Pelodiscus sinensis: one gene and its partners. The protein of the gene in region 4 purifies or fractionates together with the protein of the main gene of each other region. This does not show direct contact. Links are inferred from orthologs where the notes say so. Each region holds a gene or a part of one and is shown on either strand. Other genes may lie near its edges.

Region 1 (6,821 bases), on a different chromosome or scaffold from region 4:
CTCCAACACTTCACTTAGTCTATAAGGTGCCACAGGACTCCTCACCGCTTTTGCAGAGTCATACTAACACGGCTACCCCTCTGATACTTTCAAACTGAAAAGGGTTCTATGGCCAAATAAAAATTGGGGAAATTCTGGTCTTGTCAACTACTTGTTCACATCCCTCATATACTAGAGATGTTAAATAATGGGTTAATTGAATAGTTGAGTAATCCCATGAATTCTTTTTGGTTAGTCAGCTATTCCATAGTCCCTGGGGCCGGGCCCAGCAGCCAGTGCACTCCGGCCTTACTCCCGAGGAGCCCCCTGCCACTCTGCGCTGCAGCCTCTGTATCAGAGGCAGCAGCATGGGATGCCATACGGGAGCTGGTTCATGAGGGGAGCCAGTTTAAAAACTGGTGGTGGGTCTGAGCTCCTGGACCTGGTATGGGCTGGAACTGAGGCGAGCTACCTGCCCCCTGCCTAGGTCCTAATACACTTTAAATGCAGAGCCATAGCTGGCCAGCCTGCTAAAAAATTTAATGCAGGGGGTGGAATGCATGTTGTCTATAGCAGCGTTTCCCAAATGGTGCTCCGCGGAACCTTGGGATTCCGTAAAGTGAAAGTAAGGGTTCCGTGAGAATCTGAATGCTCCCTCCCCCTTAAAGAGACAGAGGAGCCTGGTGCGCAAAGATGCTGGCTTCTCTGGTTCCCAGCTGGGATTTCAGACACCCTCCCCATCCCCTGCTGCTGCTCTGCTTTTACCAAGGGACCTAGCAGCTGCCTTGCTAAAAGCAGCAGGGGATGGGGGGAGGAATGTTGGGTTGATCCGGGAGAAGATGGACAAGCAGCTGTAGCTGCTGCTAGGTCCCTTGGTAAAGGATGGGGGGAGGAGGAGAAGGGGGGATACTATCAGTGAGTGGAACACCGGAAATCCTTTACTCACTATGGTGATTTCTGCTCCTTCACACACACTGTGAGGACACATGGCTCCTGTGTGTGACTTTAAGAATACAAATTAATATCAAAATTCCCATGGATCTTTGATTTTAAAAAAAGGAACTTTAAAGAGAAAAGTGAGTACTTCAAGCTCCCATATTTTTACTGAAACCAACAAGGAAAATACTGAGGCAGTTCAAGTTTAATTATGAAAAATTACAGCCGACTAATAAACTCAGGTATTGTGAGGACTATTTGTCAGTTGAATTCACAAGCAATGGAAATGAAGATGCTCCGGGTGCCCAGTGTGTACTGTGCAACAAAATATGATCTAATAGTTGTTTAGTACCTGCTAAATTGCAAAGACATTTTGAAACAAATCATTCAGAGTACAAAGATAAATACATTAGTTTTTTTTAAGTAGAAGCTTGAATCACTTGAAAAAAAGTCAACTCTTGGGGTGTGCCTAGACTACAGGGTTTTGTTGACAAAAGAGGACTTTTGTCGACAAAACTATACCTGCATCTACACTACTGCTGAGTTCTGTCGACATAACGTCAACAGAACTCGGCAGTTTTGTCAACAGCAGTAAACCTTATTCTGTGAGGAATAATGTCTTGTCGACAGAAGGCATTATTGTATCTACACCGTCCTTTATGTCTACGCTCACTGTCGACAAAGAGCGTCTAGACTATATCCAGTTCTGTCAACAAAGCAAGCTGCTTTGTCGACATGAATCTGTCAACAAAAGCCTGTAGTCTAGACGTACCCTTGATTAAAAAATTGCCAAATCTGATAATAAAAATGCAACAGAGGCATCTTATAAAGTTAGCTATCGTATATCGCACGCCGGAGAAGCACACACTATTATGGAATCACTCATTTTAAAAAAAACACCATGTGCAAAAGATATTGTAATGTGTATGTTGGATCAGGAGTCTTGTCAAAAAGTTGAAGCCGTGTCACTATCAAACAATACTGTCACGCGTCGTATTCACTATCTTGCTGCTTATTTTTCGGCTGCATTTATGTGATGCATATGCATTACAATTAGACGAGTCCACTGATGTTGCAGGTCTTGCAGTTTTGCTTGTATTTGTCCAGTATGATGATGATGATAGTTCCATTGAAGACTGACTTTTATGTGAATTTTTGCAAACCAATATGACTGGTGAGAATTGTATTGATAACTTTATGAAAACACATGAAATAAGCTGGGAAAAATGTATTGATGTGCGCAGTGATGGTGCCAAAGCAATGGTAGGAACAGTGGCTGGTGCTGTAATGCGAATAAAAAATGTAGCACCAAATTGCACCAGCAGTCATTGCATTCTCCACAGACATGCTCTGGTAGTTAAGAATATTTCTCCCTCTTAAAAATGTGTTGGGCGAAGCAGTACAGATGATTATATAAAAACTCAACCATTACAATCAAGACTGTTCAAAATTATGTGTGAAGATATGGCTAGTCAGCACACAGCCCTGCTTCTGCATACAGAAGTCAGGTGGCTATCGCAAGGCAAAGTGCTGGTTAGATTATTTGAGTTGCGTCATGAGCTCTCCGCATATTTGATCACAAATTCCAGCTGTCTGATCATTTAACTAACTTTTTGTGGTTATCGAGAGTTGCGTACCTTGCAGACCTCTTTACAAAACTACATGAAGTAAATCTGTTGCTGCAATGAAAGAATGTAAATATTTTTAATGCAAAAGATTAAAATTTTGTCATTGTCTCGGAAGCTAGTTTTGGATCTCCTCTGTAGGACAAAATAATTTGGATTGTTTGCCACCCTGGAATGATTTCCTTGAGGAAAATGAATGCAAACTTGATGAAGATATTAGCAGTGACATTGCAGATCATCTCCGCGAGTGATACACAATCATTATTTTCCAACCATAAATGACGACAATAATTGGATTAGAAATCCATTAAGTTTAACAGAAAAGCCAGTCAGGTTTTCATAATCTTGTGTAGAAAAACTAAGTGAAATTGCTTCAGATGGCCAATTAATACAAAAATATAAAGATGTTTCTCTGATTACATTTTGGGGTGACTTATGTCAATCAAGAATATTCATCTTTATCAAGACGAGCAATTCGTCAGTTGTTACCCTTTGCAAGCACATACTTGTGTGAAACTGGGTTCTCGAACTATGCAGCAATAAAAACGCAATACAGAAATCAACTGAATGCTGCACCAGATATACGAATCCAACTTTCTAGTATTAAACCACATATAAAAAGAATTGGCCAAGAAAAGAAGAAAAACCACTCTTCGCCTTGAAAACAGTCAGTATAATTCACATTATTTTTTAGCTCTTTTTTGTACACATTTAATGTGGTTTTTTTTTTTTGTTTTTAAAATATGTTCAATTACAATGAATGGAGATCTCATGACCATATTTAGCATCTTATTACTACTAATTGTGGTATACTGGAAGCCTGCTCTATGTGCTTGGGATTTGTTTTTGTTTTTTCTTGACAAATGTTTTTTCCTGGCTGTAGGGGTTCCTTGAAATTTTTCAAAGTTTGAAAGGGTTCTGTGGTCCAAAAAAACAAAACGGGGGGGGGGGGGGGGGAAGAACAGGTCTATAGCTTTAACTTATAAGCTTTTGCTTATGGTGTAGTCTACTAACTGATCACATTCCTAGTATATACTTGATCATAAGCCTAGTTTTTTGGTAAAAATGATGCAGTGGTGAGCAGGAGTCAGCTTATGGGTCATTGTTTTACCTTTTTTTAAAACTTGTGCAGGGGGGAGGGTAGTAAACTTCAGCAATCTGCCCTGCTAGGCTAGGAATTGGTGTGCTGGGATGTTTTATATACCTGGATTGTCAGCAGGCACGTTGTCCCTCAGCTCCCAGTTGTTACTGTTCACTGTTCCAGGTCAATGAGAGTGACAGGAAGTTATGCCAGCGTGTTTCTTGGCCCATGCTGCTTCTTGCAGCTCCCATTGCCTGGGAACAACAAACAGCAACCAGTGGGAGCTGAGAGGCTCCGTACCTGCAGACACTCCAGGTAAATAAAATTTCTCTGTGCCAGTGGCTTACGCTGATGAGCTGGAACCAAAAGTTTGCAAACTGCCAATATAGTCAGCTTATGATCAGGTCTAAGGATGTTAAATAGTGTTTAGAAGCTAATCAAATAGTTAAGGGGGTTCGCTGCAGTTCTGTTTTTTTTTAAATGTAATAAGAGTCTCCAGGCTCTTACTGCATTTAAAAAGCAGAGGCTCAGCGTCTTGGATTTGCTCATGCTGTTCCCCCACTGTGCCTTTGCCTCCCTTGCCCCCTGCAGAGATGGTGCTGGGGGAACCTGCTTTTAAGCTGCCATCCCCCCAGCACTGGCTCTGGCTCCCCCCTCCCTCCCTTGTTACTTCTGATACAGAGGCAGCAAGGGGGGGAGGAGCAATTAGTCAAGTAGTGACTCAACTACAACTACTTGCTTATATTCCTAAACCAGTTTTTGCTATTTTTACATTTTTTTTTAAATGTGGTGGGGAGGCATTGGCTTTTGAACAAATGGATTTGACTGCTTATATATGGTAACTAAACAGGATTTTACATCCTTAACGTGCTTAGAGCATTCAATAGGTCTCTGTTACCATTTTAAATGTAAATAAATGTTAGTACTTGTAGGTGACTTGCTTTTTCTTTTATGTTTTCAAAAGGAGTTTTTTGGGGCTGCTTTTTACTCTTTAAAACAAGGAATCTTTTACTATACTTCTGTTTAGAAATTCTGTTCTTTATTTGGCCTCTTGCACCCTTGTATTCTAACTAGCAAACATTGGTTCTAATCCTACAAATGCTTAAGTGTGTAGCATAACTAATGTGAGAACTCCTGTTTTTATGGGGAAAAATCATGTGGATAATATTGAGCATGTGTTTGAGTGTTTTGATTGCTCTGAAATTTTAAATTTAGTAATAAATTTAAAATGAAGAAAACTTGGCTGTAAAGATTAAATACATAATTATGCCACCAGTCAGCCACAAGGAAAGTTCTTAATCTGTTTTGGTCTAATTTAAATTAAAATTAATTTACTATTGGGGAACATTTATTATTTAATACAACTTTCAGATGATGTTTGGCTGCTATGTCTGAGCAGCTTCTGATAATAATCTGGCTTCTTAACTAGGGATTTTAACATGCAGTGTCTCCCTCCCCCTGCACTTTGCTGCCTCCCACAGAGGCAGCAGCATGGGGACAGTGCTCAGAGGGGACAGCTCCTATGGAGCCGCCTGGCCCCAATCCCCATACTGCTTTCTTTGATAGTCAGGCTGCAGTTTGGGGTGTAGGCAGGAGCCAGTATCCACGGGAAACCAGCTCCACACAAGTACTGGCTCCTGCCTGCCCCCCACTTGTAAACGTGTAACTGCTATTAGCAGTTACATGTTTACACAAATGCATGTTAGTTATCATCCCTAGTCTTAATTTGTTAATTGCACACAGTTATAGTCTCCTGTGAGGTGACAATAACTACTTTGGATTTTTCTTTCTGCCTGATGTATCAGTTCCTAAAGACTAAAGAGTATTTGTTTAAGTTTATCCTGTACAGACTAACTCGGCTACCCCTGGAAGCTTCAGTTAATTAGGGATGTAACAGTGTAACTGTTCAAACAGTTGACTGACAAGCATCAGCTTATCCATTATAATAACCTTATATGCCAGCTCCCAGGGAGCTGGCTAGCACACCACACTGCTGGCTCTGTATTGGAGCCCATAGTATCAGGCAGCAGCCAGCTCCCTGGGAGAGTGGCTCCGGGTTGGCTTAAAAGCTAGCTCTTGGCAAACATGGGCTCCTGGGGAGCTGCCACCATGCTATGATTTTTTTTTTAATGGTTACACAGTTACCTAATGACTTTTTAACATCCCTATTCTTACTTTTTGTACCTAACCAACATTATTTCCCAAATAAACTACAGAGAAAACTTCCCAGAAGAAAACAGAGAAATTTTAGTATGGGTGTAAATTATCTTACTGTACCTATAAAGTTTTTTTTTCCTTGTGGGATGAGTGACATCATCACATCACTCTGTGTCCCACAAGAATATGCCCCACCTCCCCTCAGCCTGGCCCTTCTGAAAGCCCATGTGGAGGCCTGGGCTGCCTACTGTCCCAGCCTTTCCCTCCCCTTCTCAGTGGCTGGAGGAAAGCAGGGCCTGGCATGGCTCGGGCCTGATCCCTCCCAGCAGAACATTCCAGTTGGGAAAACTGGGCCAGCGCAGCTCAGGTCCTGGCCCTTCTGGCACGCAAGGGGGGAAAACTGGGCCTGGGAGCCAGGCCTGGCGCACACCATGGTTGGAGCTGGGTCTAGTGTGTGCTGCTGCCTATTAGTTACTGTTGGGTCACAGCAGAGAGGGAGGGAGAAGAGGCCTTGGCTGGTGGAGGAGATGGCCAGGAGGAAAGCCGGGGTTGCCTACCCCCCACAACAGGGGGATTGGCAAGCACAGGGGGCATAGCTCCCTAGTAACTTAAAAAAAATCCTATAAACAGATTAGATGTTAGGATCTCTTACTGCACAGAAAACAGGGTGGGATGAGGCACTTCTAACATCTAAGAATCTGATTACTTTACAGCATCTAAAACAAGAATATTTAGGTGATATACACCCACGTTCCTTACATTCACTTTTTAAACTTGGCTTCATTGCTAAGACTTAAGGTATGACTACAGTGAAACTTCTGTCAAGGAAACTAATATTGACATACAGAAATGGCCTAAAAAAGCCACCCAAGTGTGGTTGCAGAGTTTGAGCAACCAGACTTAGAGCTGTCAGAGAAGCTCAAAGAGTTGCTGTTAACATGGAGACTTTGTAAATGAGGAGCACTGAAATAAACCTCTGTGCCAGTGGCTTCCATGCTGCACATAGCTGGGAACATGCCTTAAAAGCCTGCACCTGGAATCAG
Region 2 (7,675 bases), on a different chromosome or scaffold from region 4:
AATACGCATGCAGTGTAGACGCTCTAAGTTTTTGCGCAAGAATGGCTGTTCTTGCGCAAAAAGCCTGTAGTGTAGACGTAGCCTTGGGTTCTAGCCTCAGCTTTAGGAAAGGAGGAGTCTAGCAGGTTGGAGCAGGGATGGGAGTAGGAACTCCTGGGTTCCATACACTGCTCTGCCATTGACTCAATCCGCGAGCCTGAGCAAGCCCCCTTCCCTCACCATTTGTAAAATGAATATAGACAGGGGCTCAGAAGGGAAATGTTTAGCCATACCTTCCCGTTGTTGAGCTGGCTGCTGGTGGCTGGGAATAGCTAGGATACGATGAGGGTTGTCCGTAAGAGGTCTGAGAGGTCTGACTGCTGCCATATCCAGTTGTTCCATAAGCTGGAGGTGTTGACTGAGTGCTGTAGCCAGCTGGTAAAAAACCCAATCCATTCTTAAAACATGGCCAGGCTAAACAGACCCAATGAATCCCTTCTATACCTCAAGCTGATTCAGTGCAACTGAAGTATAGAAGAGAGGCACCAGCTTATGTCTCCACAGCTCCTTTGGAAAGGCCGTGTTACTTAGTAAAGAATAAAAGTAACTCAGGAGACAAATTCTAACCTCAGTTCTGCCACATGTCTATAGTTTCAAGGCACTTGGTAAGATGTATCATACTAAACTTCCCTCCCATCGGCCCTAAATTGCAGGCACCTCTGGGGATGATATACAGAAACTAGTTAGATACACAATGCAAACCTTGGGGGAGGATACCAAGTAGGGAAGCAAATTTTACGCAATCCCTAGCCCATATATAGGCTAGAACTAGATGATGCAGATTCACTCTCACCCAAAAATGAAAGGTGATAGGGATTTTGTATTATTCAGAAGGGCTGAAGAGTGTTATTGGGTTTTTAAACACTTGATGCAGTAGGGACTGAATCAGCAATATAGCCACACCAATTAATGGATCCTTTGATGGAATTGGCCATCTGGAGAGAACCGATAGGAAAATACTCTGACGTCACTCAAGTAACTTTTGGATGGTGCTGATGAGACTTGCTGGCAGTGAAAAACAGCTTCACTTTAGCTGGACCAAGAGAGTGACACTTACTGCTTTGATTCTGGCCGTAAGAAGAACTGTAACTGTTCTGTCCATATGCTGAGGTGTCTGCAGACTGGCCGTAACCGCTGTAGCTCTGCTGGCTGTAGGGCTGACTCGTTTGCTGAGAGTATCCCTGTCCTGGTGGTGCTGGGTAAGCCCCATAGCTAAATGAGGATCAGACAGGTTAGATATTCCAGAGGCCAGCAGTGACTCCATAGTTAAGGCTGCAGCAGTTTAGAAACATTTTTTTTCAGAAGTCCCACACACATAAGCAAACTAATTTGAAAATTACCATGACATGGTGACACCATGTATCATGCAATTTGGGTTGAGGGGGATTTGAGGGAATAACCCACATTGTATCAGAAGCCCTGAACACCATTAGCACTGCTCCAGGGAAGCAACGAGTCAATGGATTTAACAGCATGGACTAACAAGTGTGTCAGTTGCATTACAGGGCAATAGGCAGATAAGAGCATTGTGCTAAATAGAGGCAGAGTCCCTGCCCAAAAGAGCTTAGAAATCAAGGGTGTTTAGGAGGAAGTTTCCTTTAGAATCACGTCATTATTTAACTCCCTGCTGTTGTTTTATTTAGATGTTTCTATAAAGCAGAGAATGCTGGCCGCTATTGGGAAACAGGATGCTGGGCTAGATAGGTGCACTGATGTGATCCAGGTCTCTAGGAGCAAGGAGGGATAACAGACTAGATGGGCCCACAGGTCTAATCCAAGGCAGGAATGTGGGCTGGAAGAGCCCACTGATCTAAGGCACTAATAGAAGAGCGATGAAGGAAAGACTCCTGGGATAACCCCCCCCTCCCCCATGTGCCAGCGTTGTCTTCTTTTTGCAGAGCCCAGACGGCCAGCGCCGCGCACGGGCGGGGGAGGGTTACCTCTGGGTGGCCGGCTGGCTGTAATCTGCAAGACACAAAGAGGGAAGCAGTGAGTCAGGTCCCAGACCAAAGCCCAGCTCCCGGGAGAGGACGGGCGGGGGGAGCAAGGGGGGGCACCGTACAGAGGGGAGGGGGAGGCCCAGTGCGCAGGTGTGTGTGTGTGGCTCCCCCCCCCCGCAATGGGGCGGTCACAGGCAGTGCAGGGCATCTACCCCCAGGCTGGGTGGCAGCGTGTGTGCGTGGGGGGGGAGGGAATGGACCACGCTTCACTCAGTGGGCGGGAGAGGCGATGATTGGTCGGGCGCGGAGGCTCCAACCAACCCGCTCTGGCGCCGCCTGCACAGCGCGTGGCAGAGCCCGGATGAAAGACTGCGGCAAAAAAAAAAAATCCGCACGACGCATGCGCCCACACGCGGGTGCAGGGCGGGCGGCCCATTTCTACTGCGCATGCGCCGCCCTCTGCGGCTCGAGGCGGCGGCGGCGTCAGGGGCCACAGCGCGCGTGCGTTCTTCTCTGCCACGCCCTTCCCTCTCCGCGCGCGCCTCGCGCCCCCTCCCTCCCCAGGCGCGCAGGCGCCGTTGGGCTACACGCGCGCAGCGAGGAAAGAGCCGTTTCCTTTCCCCCCCAAAATGGCGGCTAAGGCCTCAGTGTCGCAGGTATTGAAGGGGGGAGGGCGCCCCCCCGCACGAGGCACCGGCCCCCCCGCGCTATGTAGGAATTGCGGCCCCGCGTGCACCGGGCGGCGCTGAGCGCGGGAGCCCGCCCCCGCCACGGGGGGGGCATTCGTCCCCGGGGGGGGGGGCTGCGACCCGCCCCCCCCCCGACGGGTCTACAACCCATGAGCAGCCCCCTCCCGCCAGCCCGTGCCCTGCCGCAGAGCGGCGCCGCCTCACCGTTAGACGCCATTGCTGCTGCCGCCGCTGGAGTGAACGTCCCTCCCCCGCCCGGCAGTATTTATACCCTCCCCTCCCCCGCCCCTTGCTCCTGGACCGTACCAACTCCCTCGGCAGCTGGGGGGGTTGCTTGGCCCCTCCCTTCTCAGAGCCGCTGTTGCCCGCTCCCCCCCCACTCGGGGCGGACCCGCAGCCGGGTGTATTGTCTGTGCAGGGGGGGCGGTGGTTTTTCTCTGTGCACAAGGCCCCTGTTCTGCCCTTCCGGCCACCCCCCCCCGGGAGGGGAATGGTGCAGGCTGCGGGGGTGGGGGCGCGAGGAGGAATGAGGTCATGGGGCTGGGTGGAAGGAACCAAAGTGACTGCGGAAGCGGGGGGGAGGGGAGGATGCGGGGAGAAGGAGTTTGGTTTTCTGCGGGGGGGGAGGGTATTTGTGTGTGTGGCTGGGTGGGAGGGAGGCAGGGAGGGGTTTGTGCTTAGGGCAGTGTGAGTGTGTGTGTGTGTGTGTGTATAGGTGTGCATTTGTGGGAGACCTTTGTGCATCAGTGAGCAGGAGTCTGAGTTGTGGGTCAGTGTGCAGGAGTGTGTGTGCGTGAGAGAAAGATCTTTTGGGGTAAGTGTACAGAGGTGCATGTGTACGAGACTGTGGTGCATCAGTGTGCAGGGGTTTAAGATATTTGTGGGTCTGTGTGCAGACCTGTGTGTGTGTGAGAGAGGGAGAGAGAGAGAGAGAAAGAGAGAAATCTTTGCGGGTAAATGTGCAAGCAACACTTGTTTAGTTTGTCATACCAACAAGAAATCATTGAATTGATAGGAGGTGGGTTTGTCCAGTAGTGTCTCTTTGGGGGAGTGTCTCCTGAGGGCAATGTGGAGTAATGGTAAAAGCCATGGGCCAATACCTAGGGTCTTAGATCTCTGGCCTTTTCGGTGATCATGGGCAAGTCACTTTCCCTTGGCATGCCTCATCTTCCTTACTAGTAAAACTGGAATTAACTCCTTTGCAGAACTCTTAGGCTATGTCTACACTACATGCGTCTTGTGCAAGAAGCCTTTTGCGTAAGAGCTTTTGCACAAAAATTTATTGCGCAAGAGCACGTCCACACCTCAAATCACATTGCAAAAGCACATCACTTTTGCGCTGTGCTTTTGCGCAAGAGAGTGTCCACACTGCATGGGCGCTCTTGCGCAAGAAAGCTCTGATGGCCATTCACAGAATGACCATCAGAGCACCTGTGCTTTTTCCTATAGCAGTTTCTTTCGCAAGAAACCCCTCTGGAGCATCCACACTTGCCTTTTTGTGCAATAGCTGTAGTGCTAAAAGCAGTTATGCTTCAGAAAAGGAGGTTTACTTATGGTGGAAAAAGTCCTCTGTTCTGCCGTTTAACTGCCCATTTAATTGCCCAAGAACTCATTTGAGCTGTGGATGCTCTGCAGGTTTTTGCGCAAAAAGCTTATAGTGTAGACGTAGCCCTAGAAGCAGACCAAGAACACTAGATAAGTGCTAAGGTGTGTGTGTGTGTGTATAGGGGACTGAGACAAGTACATGGGTTTATATAGATGGATAGGTACGTATTTGTGTCTAGATATGTGTGGGGATCCATTTTTTTTCTCCAGTGTCTAAATCACTCTGTGCATTTGTTGATGGTATTTCCAAAAGCTGATTTAATCTGGATTAATCCTGACTGTTGGCATAAACTGAGTTCATGTCTGCAGTCTTGCTCTTGATTCAAGAAGGCGAGCCAGTTAAATTGCTCAATAAAGCTTAGTGAGATCCTTGACTGACCTTTGTTCTCTTGTTGCAAAGTTCACGTCTGAATATTTATAACAGTTCAGCTGTTTACTACACCTTCTTCTCAAACCCTAGAAGAAGTATCCTGGGATGCATTTCATCAGGACCTGGTGACTTGCTGACATCTAACTTTCCTAAGTGATTTTTGACTTGTTCTTTGTGTATCCTATCTTCTAAACTTACCCTCTCTCTGCTTGTATTCACTACGTTAGGCACACCTCCAGACTTCTCGGTGAAGACCGAAACAAAGAAGTCATTGAGCATCTCCGCCATTTCCAAGTTCCCTGTTACTGCTTCTCCCTCCTGACTAAGCAGTGGGCCTACCCTGTCCTTGGTCTTCCTCTTGCTTTTAATGTATTTATAAAAGGTCTTCTTGTTTCCCTTCAGTGGGGACGTTTCTTAGTGAGCCATCCTCCAGTAACAAAGTAGGAAAGAATTCATGGTAATAAAAGTAAGAGTCAGTTTTAATGGTAGAATCAGGCCAGAACAATTCCAAAGGCAGGGTCTGAGATTTTAACCATTTCAGATTATACAATATAGGGATCACCTAGAACTCAGACAGCTGGATTTCAGCGCTGATATTGGGGTGGGATGTTTGAAAGGATGAAAACGGTCTCTAAAAGAATGCACTTTAAATTAGATTGTAAGCTCTTTGGAGCAGGAACGTCACAAAAAGTGATTACTCTGCAAGGGTGGGGAACCGTTTTTGAGTCCAGGGGATGCTGACCCCACAGAAAAATCAGTCGGGGAGCACACACAAGTGAGAAGCAAAATAGAAAAACCAAACCCTCACTGATGTGGCCCCTGACTGAGAAGGAGAAAGACACTCCCCATGTTCCCTTTGTACACCAGATCTGAACTGTACTGAAGTTCAGCCACTGTTAGGGTGAGTAGATTAATAGATTTTAACACCAGAAGAGGCCACAGGTCTGTTCATATTTAATCCTCTCTCAGTGCAGGGCAGTGTGATCAGATTAGATGGTCTTTTGAGGCTTTATCCAGTCCTACCTTGCTGTAATTCCATAAGTGGAATTGACTTCCAAGAGAGTTTCACTCAGATACCTCTGTACTGAACCAAGTAACTTGTGTTTGACTAAAGCATCTTGTCTATTCTTGATCTGAAGCTATCAAAATATAGAGAATCCACCAGCTCTCTTGGGAAGTTAGTTCCAGAGTCTAATTACCCTCATTGTTAAAAGTCAGGGCCTTGTTATTTCTCATTGGAATTTGTCTGTCTCCCAATCACTGGTTCTTGTTATGCTGTTCTTTGCCACAGTGCATCCTTCTCTGGGGTGGAGCCTAGCAGTCAAACCCACATATATCACTACTGTTGGCTGGCTGAGCTAAGAGCAAACCCTTCCTCTTCGGAAAAAAAAATCACAGGATCTTTGCTGGAGCAGACCAAATCTTGGTTAAAAAGCTGGTTGCAGAATTTCTGGGAAATTCAAACTTGATAGCTGTCCCACAAGCCATTCCTATGAGAGACTTAGGTTCTGAATTCTCGTTAGCTACTCTTGTTCCAAGGAGAAACTGAGAGGGAAAGGTTACCCACAGCTGCAAGGAGATCACTCAAGACTTTGACACATTATCCTTTACGTGATTTAGATCCACATACAGTAACTCCAAAGTCCTCCCAAGCAACAGATGGCTTGCAGGGTGGCCGAATCCTTCACATCCCAGTTTAACGAGGCCTAAAATGTAATTCCATTAGCTGCAGGTTCTAGGGTGGAGTCAGATTTCCCCCTATTTCAAGACACATTATATCGAAGCAGCCCTTCCTTCCCTTTTTCAGTCTGCACCCCTGAGCAGGTTTTTAAAGGAAGATGAAAAATCTTTCCCTCAGGTTCCCAGGCCGGATGTCTCAGCAAGGATTGGGAGTTTAGATCAGAAGCTGTTTGGGGTTCGAGTCATCTCTTTGGTGTGTGTTTGTGCAGCCCCTAGCACAAAGGCCCCCAGCTGTGATATTTTGAACCTTGTTTTATTGTGTCATTGTGAATGTGTACTTGTGTTTTATGACTTGAAAAGTGTAAGTAGCAATTCATAGAGGACATAATTAGATGCCAGAGATAGTAATCAAACGCCTATCAACACGATAATATAAAAGCAATACCGTTACTTCTTTTGCCATGCTTAATACATCGTTTGGTGACAGTTTCCTGAGGTTAGTACATTTCACTTATTCTTAAAATTAAAAGGTTTCTATAAGCTTAGAGGAAACACCTTTTTTATTTGCTTATCTATGGCATGAACAAATACATCATCTCTTATATAACAGGGATAAATCACGCATCAGAGTCATGAAATGGGCTAAAAATAAGGTGTTAAAAAGCTGAACAAGTGGAGGGAGGCATGAAACACTCTTTGCTTGTGACGCCATTTAGTGTAGGGCCTGCCCTGCTAGGCCCCATAAGTGGTATGATAAATAAACGTAATGATTCTGTACTTATCACTGGGGTATCCAATTCACAATTGTCACCGTGGGTTTCTTTTTTAAGCAGCATTTCTTTTAAAACCCCTCAGGATCAGGGTCCATTCAGCTGCACAGAATTCGTGTCTGGCGCAGTGTGTTTTCCTCATGACAAAAGAAAACGAACGCACGTTTAAGTCAATGGATGAAAAAATGAGCGTGGGAGGTGAGCAGAAATTGCACTTGGGGAAGAAAAAAAGCCCATGAACAAAATTGAGGCCTGGATTCTTTGTCTTGGGGCCTATCTGCGCTGGGGGCTCTGACTCTGCAGTGGTGACGTGGTATAAGAACCCACACAGAATAGAAAAGGTTGGTCCATGTCTCGGATCGGGATTCAGGAAGAAAAACGATTCCTCTCCCTGGAACCCCCTTATTCTGCAAAATGGTTTCTTCCCCAGTCCAAGGCTTTCCTGTCTGTGTCCCTGAAACCGGTTCAATCCGGCTCAGAGGCCCATGCGCCATTTATGAATGGCCTTGCTGGGCGTTGGCAAGGCAACCGTGGAAAGTAGGTCACTGGCTCAGTGCATGACACAAGTGCAGGTTCACACGG
Region 3 (7,549 bases), on a different chromosome or scaffold from region 4:
CCTGAGTTGGAGTGCTCGATAACAGGGTGAAATGTAATGCCGTGTCCTACTCACGGGGGTGGCCTTTCTGGCCATAAATGCTATGAATACGGCCCCTTTGCACCACACTGCCCTGGTGAGAAGCGGGTGGACGTGTAATTGAGACCCTTGTGTGGTTCTAGGATGGTGCAGAGGGGTCTCGGTGTAAAGGAGACTCCGCCCCAATCAATGAGTGATGGCACTGGCTGCTTTTGGCATCCTGATGCATGTACCAGCCTGCACCCGCTCTTGTTCCTGTCTTGTGCACTTGCCCCATGAATATACTGTCAGCTCTTGGTGCCACACTGACTCTCTCCTCCCCCGACAGGAATAGCTGCTTTCACACCCAGCAGGCACGCAACCCGGGAAGCTGCTTCTGCCAGCATGTCACCCCGCCAGCCTGTCTCACTCCTGCCCCAGAGGGACCCCCTCCAGGCGGGCGCATGCGAGGAGCTATTCTCCATGGTCCCCTCAGCACCAGGCCAAGGTGCCAATTAGTGCCACACCTTGTTTGTGAGTAATCCACCATGCAAAGGTTTTGTTTTAATGATCCTAGGGTGGCGGGGGGAGGGGGCTGGTTTCCTTTCCCACCCCCACTGCCCAGGACTGGGTGGCATGATCAGCTGTTCAAGTTCCCCTTTGCTGCTTGTATCTAATGCTCTGCACCCCCCACCGAGGTGTCTCACACCACTGAGTCTCCTTTAAAAGCTCAGCCAGCGAGCTTCATGCACCTTAATCCCTTAAGGTGGCCCACAACCCCTGTCACCCTAAACCCTGGGGTGAAAAGGAACTGGATAGGTACAGGACACTAGTAATAACTATGTAATAATGCACCTGCACCTCCTTACTCCGGGTATCCCTAATCCGTGGTACGGAGAAGGAGGCCGATCCCCACCAGCATGCAGCATGCTCCCGAGGCCTGGGAGTAGCAGGAGCACAGATCCACTTGTGCCCCTGGGAGCAGGGCACTGGGTAAGTGCACCAACTCATACCCAGAACCCACCATGTCCTCCCTGTAGGGTTGCCAGATACTTGCACAAAAAATCCAGAACATGGCGGGACAAAAATTGGTTCAACAACAAGAAAGGAAAAAAAAAAAAAAAAAAGGTTGCTGCGCCTTTAAATTCCTGTGCTTCTCGTTCCACCCACCCCTGCCCAGACACAGCAAGGGAAAAATGTCCCCACCAGTCTTCCATCTGAGAAACAGAAAATACAGGTATTTTCTGGGAGGTTTTACAGGACAGAAGACGCAATTACCAGACTGTCCAGGCGAAAACCGGACACCTGGCAACCCTACCTCCCTGGCCCGGCAACATCTTTAATCCGGCAGACCCTGTTTCCCAGGATTGCCAAATTAAAGAAGTTCAAGAATCTACAATATGCTACATTTGCATTGAGGGGGAAGGATGAAATTCAAGAAGGACAAAAGCAAAGTACTACACTTAGCAAGGAATAATCAATTGCTCAAATATCACATGGGAAGTGACTGCCAAGGAAGCGGTACTGCAGACCAGGGTCTCGGGATTATAGCGGATCACAAACTAAATACGAATCAACAATGGAACGCTGCTACCAAAAAAACCCCAAATCCCCAAACACCATTCTGGGATGCATTAGTAGGCATGTTGCAAGCAAGACATGAGAAGTAATTTTTCCCTCTACTCAGCATTCATAAGGCCTTAACTGGAGTCTTGTGCCCAGTTCTGGGCACTACATTTCAGGAAAGATGTGGACAAACAGGAGAAGGTCCAGAGAAGAGCAACAAAACCAATCAGAGAGTGATCAATTGTTCTTTTATCCACTGAGGATAGGACAAGAAGCAATGGACCTAAATCGCAAGCATGAGAGGTTTTGATTGGACATTAGGAAAACCTTCCCGTGGCAGGATAGTTAGGCACTAGAACACATGCCTACTGAGGCTGTGGAGGCTTTTTAGAGCATGTTAGACAAACATCAGCCAGACATGGTTTAAATCAGCAGCGGGCAAAAGCTTTGGATCTGATCCATCACAGTCCTCTGGGCTATCAATGTCCAACAGCCCAGGGAGAGTCTGAGGCAGGCTCCCTGCCGGCCGCGCCCCACCTGTGGCTCAAAGCAGCCAGCTGCTGGGGCCAGCCTGTGCGTCTCTGCACAGCACATGCCACATGGGAGAGGGGGAGAGAGGCTCTGCATGCTGCTCCCGCCCCCAGCACAATCCTTGCAGCTCCCATTGGCTGGAAGCCATGCTTGTGGAGGCAAGCGAGTGACGAAGCCCCTCCCCCCCACCAATGGCATGCCATACAGAGTCATGCATGGTCCTTTCTACACTCAGCCTTCATCCCAGACCTGCATCCCCTGCATAGAAAAATGTGGTTCTCGACCACTTACCAAAATCTTGGGATGCCCCCCCACCCATGAAAAGTTATTGCCCACCCTTGGTCTAGACAGTATTTAGTTCTGCCTCAGTGCAGGGGACTCGACTAGATCACCTACTCGGGTCCTTTCCAGCCCTGTATTGGTTTTCTCTGCTCCTTTGCTAGCTATGGCCCCATCCAGCCTCTCCACTGCTCCTTCCCAGTCGCTGTATTGAGCTGTCTTGAATTCACATCCCAGGCCGAATGTGTCTTTCCTAGACTCACTGGTCTCAGCATTTTACACTCACTTTGCACTGGTGTAAATGGTTATGCCAAGTTCAGAACAATGGAGAATCAGGCCCCATGGGACATCAGGTTCTAAATAGGAATAAATGTAAATTGCAGAATCGGAGACATAAAGAGACCTACTGATCCTAATCTCATGTGCAAGGCAAGCGGGAGTCAGGACTCCTGGGTTCTATTCCCAGCTCTGGGATGGGGGTTCAGCGGTCGTTTGAGCAGGGGCCTGGGTTTTATGCCCAGTTCCACCCAAACTGCCTTGCACAAAACAGCTCCATTTCCAACACCCTCCCTCATACAAAGCATCCCTCCCCCAGCCCTGCTGTGAGCCTACCTGCGATACAGAACTTGTACCACCATCTGGGACCACGGAGCTGGCATGAACTCTTCTACCAACAGCTGATGCTCTGTCTCAGTGCAGACCCCCATGGTCTCGGCAGCTGCTGGGTGTCTGTCTGGCCCCCATCCAACAGAAGCAGGAGGATCTGAGTTCTCTCTGCATGAGAGCAACCAGGACACGATGGGTATCTTCGCACCATCTCGCTGAAAATCTTTGTATCAGCGTCAAGCACCATCGTGGGTCCCAGGAATTGCTGGATGCTCCAAATTGCTGAGCATTTGCTCCTGGGATCTGCCTTCCCCTTTTGCAACAGAGCAGAAAATAGAAGGGAGACAGAAACACTCCGTTAAAAAGCTTGGAAGGCTCCCATACTAATTATGAACAAGAACATAGCGAACAGCAGCGGCTTGTGTTCCAGGATAGACATTGCACTTTTTTACTGTTATTTTTTATTATGAATTATTTCTGTTACAGTAGCACCACAGCACTCCACTTATGGATCAGGATCCCATAGCACAAGATGCTTATGAACACCAAACCAAAAGACTCTCTCCCTACACTACAAACTATCCTGCTAGGTATGATTATCTCCACTTCAGAGATGGGTAAACAAAGGCACAAAGCAGAGTTAGAAGCAGAACAAGGCATAGATCCAAGGAGTCCTGACTCCCCCTTGACTGCTCTAATCAATAGACCATGGTTTCCACACCAGGGCCAAAAATAGAACAAAGAGCCCCCAACCCCTATGCCTCATGTTCTAGCCACTACTTCCCACTGCTCTGGAGTAGGCCGGAAATGATTCGTAGATTCCAAGGCCAGAAGGGACCCAATATAACCATCTGGTCTGACCTCCTGGATAACATAGGCTCCAGAACTTCCCCAAAATAATTTCTAAAGCAAATCTTTTGGGAAAAAACCATCCCATCTCAATTTTTCAACAATGGAGAATCTACCATGACCCTGGATAAATTGTTCCAACGGATCATTGTTCTCACCATTACAAAATTACACCTTATTTCCACTCTGAATTTATCTAGTTTCCACTTCCAGCCATTGGATCGTGTTAGATCTTCCTCTGTTATTAAATATTTGTTCCCCACATAGATACTTGCAGACTGTGAGCAAGTCACCCCTTAACCCCCTCGCTTAGGCTGAGCTTTTTGTGTCTATCACCATGAAGCCTATTTTCTATTCCTTTAATCGTTCTCGTGGCTCTTCTCTGACCCCGCGCCAATTTATCAGCACTCTTCCCGAATTCTGGACACCAGAAGTGGACACAGTATTCCAGCAGTGCTTGCATGAGACAACAGAACCCCAAAGTCACCTTGTGTTGAACCTTAGACCACACTGTTTTATGGTGAATGCACAAAATCCTGAAACGAGGGATGTAAAAGGTTAACCGGTTACCTGGTAAGCATCATCCTAACCAGCATGCTTATTGGGTCAGCTGGTTAGCTGAGTAAATGTAATGTTTAACCGGTTAACTTTTTAAATGTTATTTTACACCCCTACTGAAACTAAAACAAAATCACCTTCCAAATGTCCCATGCTAAAACTTTCGGGAGGGGTTCCCCACTAGTCTGAGCCCTCCCTGCTCCCAACAGCCCCAGTACCGTTGCAGCATGTTCTGGAAACATGGATGAAATGTAGCAAAGTTATCCACGGGTGTGCATGTGTGTGGGGAAAGAGAAGCTGATACAAAGGCACAGGATTTTGTCAGCTGATTGCTCCCCCGTCCTGCAGATCCCAGAGTGGACCCCATGAGCTTTGGACATGCCCAGATGGTACAGCAATGGGTGTCTGTGACAGGCCAATGTCTGGCCCTTTGCCCTTAGCTGGCATCTTTTCCTCCCCCTGTATCCATGAGCAGCCCGAGGTGGGCTGCGGTAGCTGGCGCCCCAGGTGGAACACACGATCGGCGACCCCGCCTGCATGGCCGTCAATGGAGTGACGTCATCATCGGACGCCCGGACGCCCTGTGACATCATCATCGGGCGCCCTGGGCGCCCCATTGAAGGCAGTGCCCTAGGTGATGGCCAGGTTGGCCTATAGTCACAGGCCACCCCTGCCTGTATCTGAGGTTTCGCATGGACACAGCGGAGCCCCAGCATTCTGAAAGGGCCAGTTCACACCCAACCGGTCGGCATTTTTGGGGAGCAGGGAGCTTGTCTGTTTTATGTGTCTGAAAATTTACCGTCATCCTTACGTTGTGATGGAATCACATACAGAAACAGCAAACACTAACTAAAATGATTAATTAAATAATAATGACCCAAATAATTAATAATTGGTTAAAAATAGAAATAATGGCAAATAGGAACATATTTAGCAGCAGCAGCAGCCAGAGATCGGCTCATCTGGTGCAGGGATGTGCATGCTGGGGCAGAATGGCACATCCAAACGGGAGCATAGGGGCAGGGTGGCCGCTGCCCACCCTCAGAGCCTTTGAAGGCCAGAGAGTAGCAGGAATCAGAAGGGATTGGTGTTCCATGTAAGCTGGGCATTTGTGTGGCTACTCAGGAGAGATTCAAATGCTGCCCAGCTGATTAGCAGAGCTCCCACATCTGGGTTTTTTATTATAGTGGTGGTGCACATGGCCTCGGTGCACATAATATTTATACCACACCTGGATGGAAAAAGTCTGCACGTGGCTGAAAAAGATGGAAGGGAACATTGGAAGGAATCAGACATTTATCTGGATAATAAGAACATTTAGATTCATCCCCGGCTGGACTCAACTCAGGGCCTGATTCTACCTTGCCCAGAGTCTTGCACGGTCACTGACATTAGTGCAAAGTGAGTGTGAAATGCACTGGCGTAAATGACTGGGAGATACAAAGAATTAGAGAAGGGTTGAAAATCTTGCTGCGTCAGGGCATAAACCAACCTCTAACTAGGGATGTAAAGGGTTAACTGGTTACTGGGTAAGCATGACCCTTACTGGCATGCTTACCAGGGTAAACAATTAACTGGTGGGGGGCTGCTCCGGCTGAGCCTGGCCTGGCTGGAGCAGCCCATGATTCCGTGGGCTTGCTCAGGCTGCAGAAGCCCTGGCCAGGCTAGAGTAGCCCCTGGCGCACGATCACGGTGAACCCATTAAAACATTAAGTTTAACCAGCTAACTTTTTAACCAGGATTTTACATCCCTTCCTCTAACAGGTGGGGTCAAGAGGAAGCCTCCCCTCAGGCCATGTCACCCCAGAGGCGAAGGGGTTCTTACACCTTCTGCTGCCGAGGTCCAGGATATTGGGCTAGGCAGGCAGACCCCAAGTCTAACAGAATGGTAACTCGTATGTTCTGGGCTCTCCCAGCAGTTAAACCTGTTTTGCTAATTGCCCCACTCCCCACTGACATCCGAGACACATCAGGCCCATTTGCTTTCCATTTCCCCAATGATCAGCAATAAGCTCTGAAATTGGAGAGTCTGCTGCCGCTGTGACTAGCCCATGAAATATATCCATTGTGTTGGCCCCTTGGCCGGTTGTAAATGAGAGAGGGGGGAGCTCTGGGGACACATCCCAGCCCTGCTCCTGATAGAAAGTGGGGCAGGGGAATTTCCCAGGAAGCTGCATGCTGTAACTGCTGGCTTGATCTGCCTGGAACAAAATGCTTTCAAACAATTCTCTCCCTTCGATAAATGGCTTAGACTTTTCAAGCATTAGGTAACTTCCATTGGAATCCTCGTTAATGTAGCTACACATCTATGAGTAGCAGACAGTACCGGTTTGGTCAACTTAATGCTTCCTCTGTACTTACACACACACACACTCTGCATCACAAGCTTTCAAATACACGTACACGAGATACATAATTTGAACGCATGTCTTCTAAAAGGAGGTATGATGTGAAGTTCTCAAGTGATTACCCTAGAAACAAGGGTAAACAATGACCCCACCAAGATGTCCAATAGACCACTTTGAAATAGTCACATTTGTTCCAGTATGTTCAATGACTCTGGATTATTTCAAGACATAAAATTAGATTTCTTTGTGACCTCAGCACCAACTGAAAGAGTAAAACAAAATCTGATTATACATATGGACTGTGTCTAGACCGGCCACTTTTTCCGGAAAAGCAGCCACTTTTCCGGAAAAACTTGCCAGCTGTCTACACTGGCCGCTTGAATTTCCGCAAAAGCACTGACGATCTCATGTAAGATTGTCAGTGTTTCTGCGGAAATACTATGCTGCTTCCGTTCGGGCAAAAGTCTTTTTCTGAAAAACTTTTGCGCAAAAGGGCCAGTGTAGACAGCTGAGATTTGTTTTCTGCAAAAAAGCCCCGATTGCGAAAATGGCGATTGGGGCTTTTTTGCGGAAAAGCGCATCTAGATTGGCCACAGACGCTTTTCCGCAAAAAGTGCTTTTGCGGAAAAGCGTCCTGCCAATCTAGATGTGCTTTTCCGAAAATGCTTTTAACGGAAAAGTTTTCCGTTAAAAGCATTTCCGGAAAATCATGCCAGTCTAGACGTAGCCCCCGAGACGTATCATTGAACTGTAGGAACGCTGGTGACATTGCTACTCAACTTCTTGTTCATCGTTCTACTCTCTGTCGAGAGTGA
Region 4 (7,340 bases):
ACCCCCACACCCCCTCGAACTGCCCGTGTACAGCCCAGCCCCACAGAGTGGGGGGGCAGGGCGAGCCCAGGTACAGGGGGGAGGCTGGATCCACCCCCCCCAAATCCCACAGCCGTACTCCGGACGCCACATGTTGAGGGGAGCCCTACCGAACTCCCCCACAGGCTTTGCAAACTGGACCCCATCGCCCCCCACTGGCAGTACTGGGGGGCCCCCAGCCCCACTCGTATCGCCACACTCCTGGGGGCTGTGCCCAGCTGCGGGAGAGAAGTGGGATGCAGGGGGCACGCTCTGACCCCTGCGGGCATGTCAGACCCTGGGGCGCCCCTGCTCCCCAAATCCCTCCCTGAATGCACTACAAAGCAAACCAGGCCTGGGGGCTGCTGCACCCCATAACTCTCCCCCCCCGGCCAAGGACTGAGAGAAGCAGCCTCAGCACCCTGCCCCCCTGCGGGCATGTCAGACCCTGGGGTGCCCCTGCTCCCCAAATCCCTCTCTGCATGCAGCACAAAGCCAGCCAGGCCTGGGGGCTGCTGCACCCCATAACCCTCCCCCCCCCCCAGCCAAGGACTGAGAGGAGCAGCCTCAGCACCCTGCCCCCCTGCGGGCATGTCAGACCCTGGGGCGCCCCTGCTCCCCAAATCCCTCCCTGCGTGCACCACAAAGCCAGCCAGGCCTGGGGGCTGCTGCACCCCATAACCCTCCCCCCCCAGCCAAGGATTGAGAGGAGCAGCCTCAGCACCCTGCCCCCCTGCAGGCATGTCAGACCCTGGGGTGCCCCTGCTCCCCAAATCCCTCCCTGCGTGCACCACAAAGCCAGCCAGGTCTGGGGGCTGCTGCACCCCATAACCCTCCCCCCCCCCCGGCCAAGGACTGAGAGGAGCAGCCTCAGCACCCTGCCCCCCTGCAGGCATGTCAGACCCTGGGGTGCCCCTGCTCCCCAAATCCCTCCCTGCGTGCACCACAAAGCCAGCCAGGCCTGGGGGCTGCTGCACCCCATAACCCTCCCCCCCCCCCCGGCCAAGGATTGAGAGGAGCAGCCTCAGCACCCTGCCCCCCTGCAGGCATGTCAGACCCTGGGGTGCCCCTGCTCCCCAAATCCCTCCCTGCGTGCACCACAAAGCCAGCCAGGCCTGGGGGCTGCTGCACCCCATAACCCTCCCCCCCCCCGGCCAAGGATTGAGAGGAGCAGCCTCAGCACCCTGCCCCCCTGCGGGCATGTCAGACCCTGGGGCGCCCCTGCTCCCCAAATCCCTCCCTGCATGCACCACAAAGCCAGCCAGGCCTGGGGGCTGCTGCACCCCATAACCCTCCCCCCCGGCCAAGGATTGAGGAGCAGCCTCAGCACCCTGCCCCCCTGCAGGCATGTCGGATCCTGGGGTGCCCCTGCTCCCCAAAGCCCTCCCTGCATGCACCACAAAGCCAGCCAGGCCTGGGGGCTGCTGCACCCCATAACCCTCCCCCCCCCCCCCCCGGCCAAGGACTGAGAGGAGCAGCCTCAGCACCCTGCCCCCCTGCGGGCATGTCAGACCCTGGGGCGCCCCTGCTCCCCAAATCCCTCCCTGCGTGCACCACAAAGCAAACCAGGCCTGGGGGCTGCTGCACCCCATAACCCCCCCCCGGCCAAGGATTGAGAAGAGCAGCCTCAGCACCCTGCCCCCCTGCAGGCATGTCGGACCCTGGGGTGCCCCTGCTCCCCAAAGCCCTCCCTGCATGCACCACAAAGCCAGCCAGGTCTGGGGGCTGCTGCACCCCATAACCCTCCCCCCCGCCCCCCGCCCGGCCAAGGACTGAGAGGAGCAGCCTCAGCACCCTGCCCCCCTGCGGGCATGTCAGACCCTGGGGTGCCCCTGCTCCCCAAATCCCTCCCTGCATGCACTACAAAGCCAGCCAGGCCTGGGGGCTGCTGCACCCCATAACACTCCCCCCCCCAGCTAAGGACTGAGAGGAGCAGCCTCAGTACCCTGCCCCCCTGCGGGCATGTCAGACCCTGGGGTGCCCCTGCTCCCCAAATCCCTCCCTGCGTGCACCACAAAGAAACCAGGCCTGGGGGCTGCTGCACCCCATAACCCTCCCCCCCTGCCCAGGACTGAGAGGAGCAGCCTCAGCACCCCGCCCCCCTGCCTAGGTGCAAGGCCAGGAAGAGGCGCCCCCAGGCTGGCCAGGAAGAAACTGGGGTGCTGCCCACAAGCCACAACCACCCGCTTTGCCGGCTGCCGTGGGGCAGGCCCCCAGGTCCTAGGATACAGGCTGCGATGGCGGGGGGGGGGGGGGGGGGGGGGTACTGCTTCCGTGGCCTGCCCCCTGCCAGGGCCCTACTCCCCATACACTGCTACCCAATCCCCTTCACCACCCCCAACCCACCATAGTGCAGGGGCCCTGCCCCCAAACCACTGCAGCACGTCCCACCATGCACGGGGGGTGCACCCCTCCCCCATGTCGGAGGCTCCCCTGTGGGGGGGGCGGCTTGGGCGCCCTATTTTTGTGTGTGTTCGTTTCACGGCCCCACCAATACCCGGCTGGGGGGCGGCGGGGGGGTCCTCCCTCCCGCCCGCGCGGGGTCCCGGGGGCGGGGGCGGCCGGGCGGGGCCGATGTCCGCGGATGGCGGAGCGGCCCGGGGGCTGGAGGGCCGCCGGGCCGGCGCCATCTTGGATTCCTGGCCGGCTAGAGACGCACAATGGGGGAACCCGTCCATCCGGCCCCCCCCGGGGCCCCTTCCGGGCGGATTTTCGGGGCCCGGGGGCGGGAAATGGCGGCCGAGACCGGGCGCGGCGGGGAGGGAATCGCCCGCCCGAGGGGTATCAGGAGCTCCGGGGGGCGGATGGCCCCGCGCGGCGGCGATGCGCGACCGATTCTCGGCGGGGCCGCTCACCTGCTGCAGGGGGGAGGGGCGCCCGAGTCTCCTTCGAGCGGCGGCCGCGGCCAGAACTGAGCGGCGCCTCCACTTCCGGAATGTGGGGGGAGGGGTAGGGGAGCGCGCCTCGGCGAGGACCCCGCGGCCGGATGGGGCTGCCTAACACAGCGCCTGATTGGAAACAAACGAAAAAAAACCCACCCGCACCAAAGGGACCATTGAGGGCGGGGGTTTCTCTGAGGGGGACGGACACGAGCGCACTGGAGTCGGGGCAGAGGGCTCGGCGCGGGGGTGTGTGTCGTTTTTTTTCATCAGGCGATTGACAAGGACACCTCTCCCCCAGCCACCGGCTGGAGCGCGGGAATGCGTTTCCCACGGGGTCCTGCAGGCGGCAGAGGGGCTGGGAGTAGTTTGGTTCAGGCTTCGCTTTGCCTCGCAGGCCTGTGATGACGTCATGGGGCCACGGCTCGAGGCCCCGCCCCTTCTAGCCCCGCCCCGCGATAGCCTACCTCCTTTGGCCACGCCCCCACAGGCCATGACCCCAACACCACATTCTCCCTCTGGTCACGCCCCCACACTCCCACTGGCCACGCCCCCAACACCACATTCTCCCTCTGGCCACGCCCCCACACTCCCACTGGCCACGCCCCCAACACCACATTCTCCCACTGGCCACGCCCCCAACACCACATTCTCCCTCTGGCCACGCCCCCACACTCCCACTGGCCACGCCCCCAACACCACATTCTCCCACTGGCCACGCCCCCAACACCACATTCTCCCTCTGGCCACGCCCCCACACTCCCACTGGCCACGCCCCCAACACCACATTCTCCCTCTGGCCACGCCCCCATACTCCCACTGGCCACGCCCCCAACACCACATTCTCCCTCTGGCCACGCCCCCACACTCCCACTGGCCACGCCCCAACACCACATTCTCCCTCTGGCCACGCCCCCACAGTGCCCTATTCCCCTCCTGCCAGCCCCTGCCACGCCCCCACACTATCACTGGCCACACACCCCACACCACATTCCTCTCTGGCTACGCCCCCACAGTGCCCTATTCCCCTCCTGCCAGCCCCTGCCACGCCCCCACACTATCACTGGCCACACCCCCAACACCACATTCCCCTCTGGCCATGCCCCCACAGTGCCCTATTCCCCTCCTGCCAGCCCCTGCCACGCCCCCACACTATCACCGGCCACACCCCCCACACCACATTCCTCTCTGGCTACGCCCCCACAGTGCCCTATTCCCCTCCTGCCAGCCCCTGCCACGCCCCCACACTATCACCGGCCACACCCCCCACACCACATTCCTCTCTGGCTACGCCCCCACAGTGCCCTATTCCCCTCCTGCCAGCCCCTGCCACGCCCCCACACTATCACTGGCCACACCCCCCACACCACATTCCTCTCTGGCTACGCCCCCACACTATCACTGGCCACACCCCCAACACCACATTCCCCTCTGGCCACGCCCCCACAGTGCCCTATTCCCCTCCTGCCAGCCCCTGCCACGCCCCCACACTATCACTGGCCACACCCCCAACACCACATTCCCCTCTGGCTACGCCCCCACAGTGCCCTATTCCTCAGGCTGCTCTTGGCCCTGCGCTGGAGCTGGCAACAGGAAGGGACAGGACCAGCCGGCAGGGGTCAAGTCTGACAACATAGCCCGTGATCCCTGGCCCCCCAAGGCTCTGGGGCCGGGGGTCGTTCAGCTGCCCAACCACCTAGTGCCCCGGGGCTAGGAAAGCCAGCAGTGCAGTGGGGGCGGGGACTAGCCTCGGGCAGGGGGGCTGAGAGTGAGGGGCAGGGGCCGGTGGCGACGACAGGGCCTGGGTGGTCTCCAGTGAGCAGAAAAGGGGAGGGGTCTCGGGCCCATGGGTAGCAGTTTCAAGACCGGTCCCTCAGCTCTGGCCGACAGTCGAGCGGCATGCAAAATGCACGGATCACCTTTCTCCACGGCCCAGGCGCAGCTGAAGGGACAGGCCCCCGCACCTGCTGAGCACGCCCCGCAGGGACACCCCACATTGGCACTGCTCCACTCCACACTCCAGATCGAAAAAAACACAGATCCATCTGGACCACAGTCCAGAGCCAAAGGCTGGGGCAATACCAGTATGGCCTTAATGGTCATACTGCCTGGGCTACACTGTGGCTTCCCAAAGGCCGGGTCATCTAGCCCTGAATTCTAGAGTCTGTCCGTCCATCTGAGTGTCCATTCAAAAACTCAGAAACAAGAAGACCGCGGACCACCAAATTTGCCAGGCAGCTTCCTCTGGGGGGGGACTTTAATCCCCCTGACATCTGTTGGGAGACCAATACAACTGGACACAGACAATCCAGGAAGTTTTTGGAGAACGTTGGGGATAACTGCTTGGTACGAGTGCTGAAGAAACCGACCAGGGGCCGTGCGCAGCTTGACCTGCTGCTCACAAACTGGGACGAACTACTAGGGGAAGGGGAGGTGGGTGACAACCTGGGAAGCAGTGATCATGAGATGGTAGATTTCAGGATCCTGACCAAAGGAAGAAAGGAGAGTAGTAAAATACACACCCTGGACTTCAGAAATCAAACTTCAACTCCCTCAGAGAACTGAGGGGCAGGATTCCTTGGGATGCTAACATGAAAGGAAAGGAGTCCAGGAGAGCTGGCAGGATTTTAAAGAAGCCTTATTAAAGGCACAGGAAGAAACCATCCCGATGTGCAGTAAGAAAAGCAAATATGGTAGGTGACCAGATCGGAGAGGGGGTTACTGGATGAGGGAGGTGACCTAGTGACAGACGATGTGGGGAAAGCTGAGTCTGCAGAAGAGCAGAGTGAGGGGGGATTTGAAAGCAGCCTGCAACTCCCTGAAGGGAGGTTCCAAAGAGGCTGGCGAGAGGCTGTTCTCAGGGGTGGCAGGAGGCAGAACAAGGAGCAATGGGCTCAAGTTACAGTGGGGGGGTCTAGGTTGGAGATTAAGAAAAACTCTTTCCCTAGGCGGGTGGGGAAGCGCTGCGATGGGTTGCCTGGGAGGGGGGTGGAATCTCCATCCCTAGAGATTTTTAAGTCCCTGCTAGACCAAGCCCTGGCTGGGCTGATTGAGTTGGGCTGGTCCTGCCGTGGGCAGGGGGCTGGACTCGATGACTCCCGAGGTCTCTGCCCGCCCTGGGATTCTAGGATTCTCTTCTCCAAAGCGCAAGCAAGGGCCGGGTTTGCGAGGCCCAGGACAACGGGCCGTGCCGGGAATGGGGCTGTGTTCCAGCACGTGGCAGGGGAGGGGGCTGAGAGAGGAGGGAGGCGATCCTGAGAGTGGCCACTGGGGGGCAGTGAGCGCAGGGGAGAGCTATGGGGAGGGTCATCCCTGAGGGCAGCTGCATCACCGTAGGGGTGGCCAAGCAGGGCCGGGGGCTCGGTGTTCTTGCCTGCCAGCTGGAAAGAGAAGTGTGGCCCCTTCGCAGGAGACAGCCTCTGCCCCCCCCCACCCTGAGAGGAGCCGGGGGGCGGGGAGAGAGCCCCAGATAGCCCCCTTGTCCTGAGCCCTTGCTCATCCCTCCACCCTCATTCTTGCATCACCCTACACCCCCAGACTCCTGCCCTGAGCTCCCCACTCCCCAAGGGCTTGCCCTGGCTCCTGCCCCCCGCCCCCCACTGCCACGTGGCAATAGCAGGTAAGTCTGCTAGGAGGACACAAACCCCACGACCATCAGCGTCCTGACACGAGGCACAGGGATTCACAACGGAGCGGGTGAGCCCAGCTGTGGGCCCAGCGTCTTCGGGGTCACGGCCCCCCCACAGCACAGGAGCAGAGTCGGGGGCTGCCCGGCCAGCCGAGAAACACTCACATCCGTCTCGCAGCGGTTCCCCACCTTCTCAGCATCACGCCTCCGTTTTGATTTTTGAGAGACCCTCACCCCCCCCCCCCCCCCAAAAAAATGCTTGTTGAGCAAAAAAAAGAAAAAGAAAAAAAACCTGGCCAGGCCCAAGCTGTGCGTGTTCTGGCAGACGCCCGAGCCAGGAAGACACGTCCAGTATTTTCTGAATTTTTTTTACTAGAGGGACTAGGCTCTTTGACGGGGTGGGGGGCTGGGTCGCCTTGCGCCCCCCCCCCCCCTTGAATTTCCCCCGTTCGGGAACCTATGATTCTAGTGTGTCGCCCTGTCGAGTCTAGCTTCGCTATGTGGTCAGGCCAGCCGCGGGCGTGGAGCAAACAGCACCAAGAACAGCTCCCTGCTCCGGCGTCCCCGTGAAGATTTTCCAACCGTGAACAGAGGGCGTTTTGACCCGTGCACTAATATTGAGGGCAAGCGCGCGTCCACCAGTTACTAACCAATCTCTGAGAGAGACGTATTTTTAAACCGTTGTGGAAGAAAGAATACAAAGACAAGGGATCGCTAGCAAGCTGCGCGACTTTCAATGTTTAATGTGCCATCAAATACAAAGCCAGTGAACACTGCAGAATGCTCGCTAGCCATTTGGTATCTTTCATACATCA

Evidence for each region.
Region 1: the proteins of DDX39B (region 4) and SPECC1L purify together in Homo sapiens (affinity purification with mass spectrometry, with the first as the bait; 3 studies listed by BioGRID). This does not show direct contact. The link is inferred for Pelodiscus sinensis from reciprocal best matches to the Homo sapiens genes DDX39B and SPECC1L.
Region 2: the proteins of DDX39B (region 4) and FUS purify together in Homo sapiens (affinity purification with mass spectrometry; 3 studies listed by BioGRID and IntAct, with this or other methods). This does not show direct contact. The link is inferred for Pelodiscus sinensis from reciprocal best matches to the Homo sapiens genes DDX39B and FUS.
Region 3: the proteins of DDX39B (region 4) and prelamin-A/C purify together in Homo sapiens (affinity purification with mass spectrometry, with the first as the bait; 4 studies listed by BioGRID). This does not show direct contact. The link is inferred for Pelodiscus sinensis from reciprocal best matches to the Homo sapiens genes DDX39B and LMNA.

The regions. Positions count from the first base shown.
Region 1 is NC_134725.1:7,284,272-7,291,092, reverse strand, and holds the start of SPECC1L (cytospin-A), read left to right. Parts: upstream 1-3,804; 5' UTR 3,805-3,808; coding exon 3,809-3,936; intron 3,937-6,821. UniProt on the Homo sapiens protein: Involved in cytokinesis and spindle organization. May play a role in actin cytoskeleton organization and microtubule stabilization and hence required for proper cell adhesion and migration.
Region 2 is NC_134714.1:131,652,916-131,660,590, forward strand, and holds the start of FUS (RNA-binding protein FUS), read right to left. Parts: upstream 3,001-7,675; 5' UTR 2,886-3,000; coding exon 2,873-2,885; intron 2,636-2,872; exon of another isoform or gene 2,568-2,635; intron 2,005-2,567; coding exon 1,980-2,004; intron 1,252-1,979; coding exon 1,097-1,251; intron 415-1,096; coding exon 273-414; intron 1-272. UniProt on the Homo sapiens protein: DNA/RNA-binding protein that plays a role in various cellular processes such as transcription regulation, RNA splicing, RNA transport, DNA repair and damage response. Binds to ssRNA containing the consensus sequence 5'-AGGUAA-3'.
Region 3 is NC_134734.1:16,695,251-16,702,799, forward strand, and holds the start of prelamin-A/C, read right to left. Parts: upstream 3,004-7,549; 5' UTR 2,986-3,003; intron 1-2,985.
Region 4 is NW_027465831.1:175,562-182,901, forward strand, and holds the start of DDX39B (spliceosome RNA helicase DDX39B), read right to left. Parts: upstream 3,008-7,340; 5' UTR 2,874-3,007; intron 1-2,873. UniProt on the Homo sapiens protein: Involved in nuclear export of spliced and unspliced mRNA. Component of the TREX complex which is thought to couple mRNA transcription, processing and nuclear export, and specifically associates with spliced mRNA and not with unspliced pre-mRNA.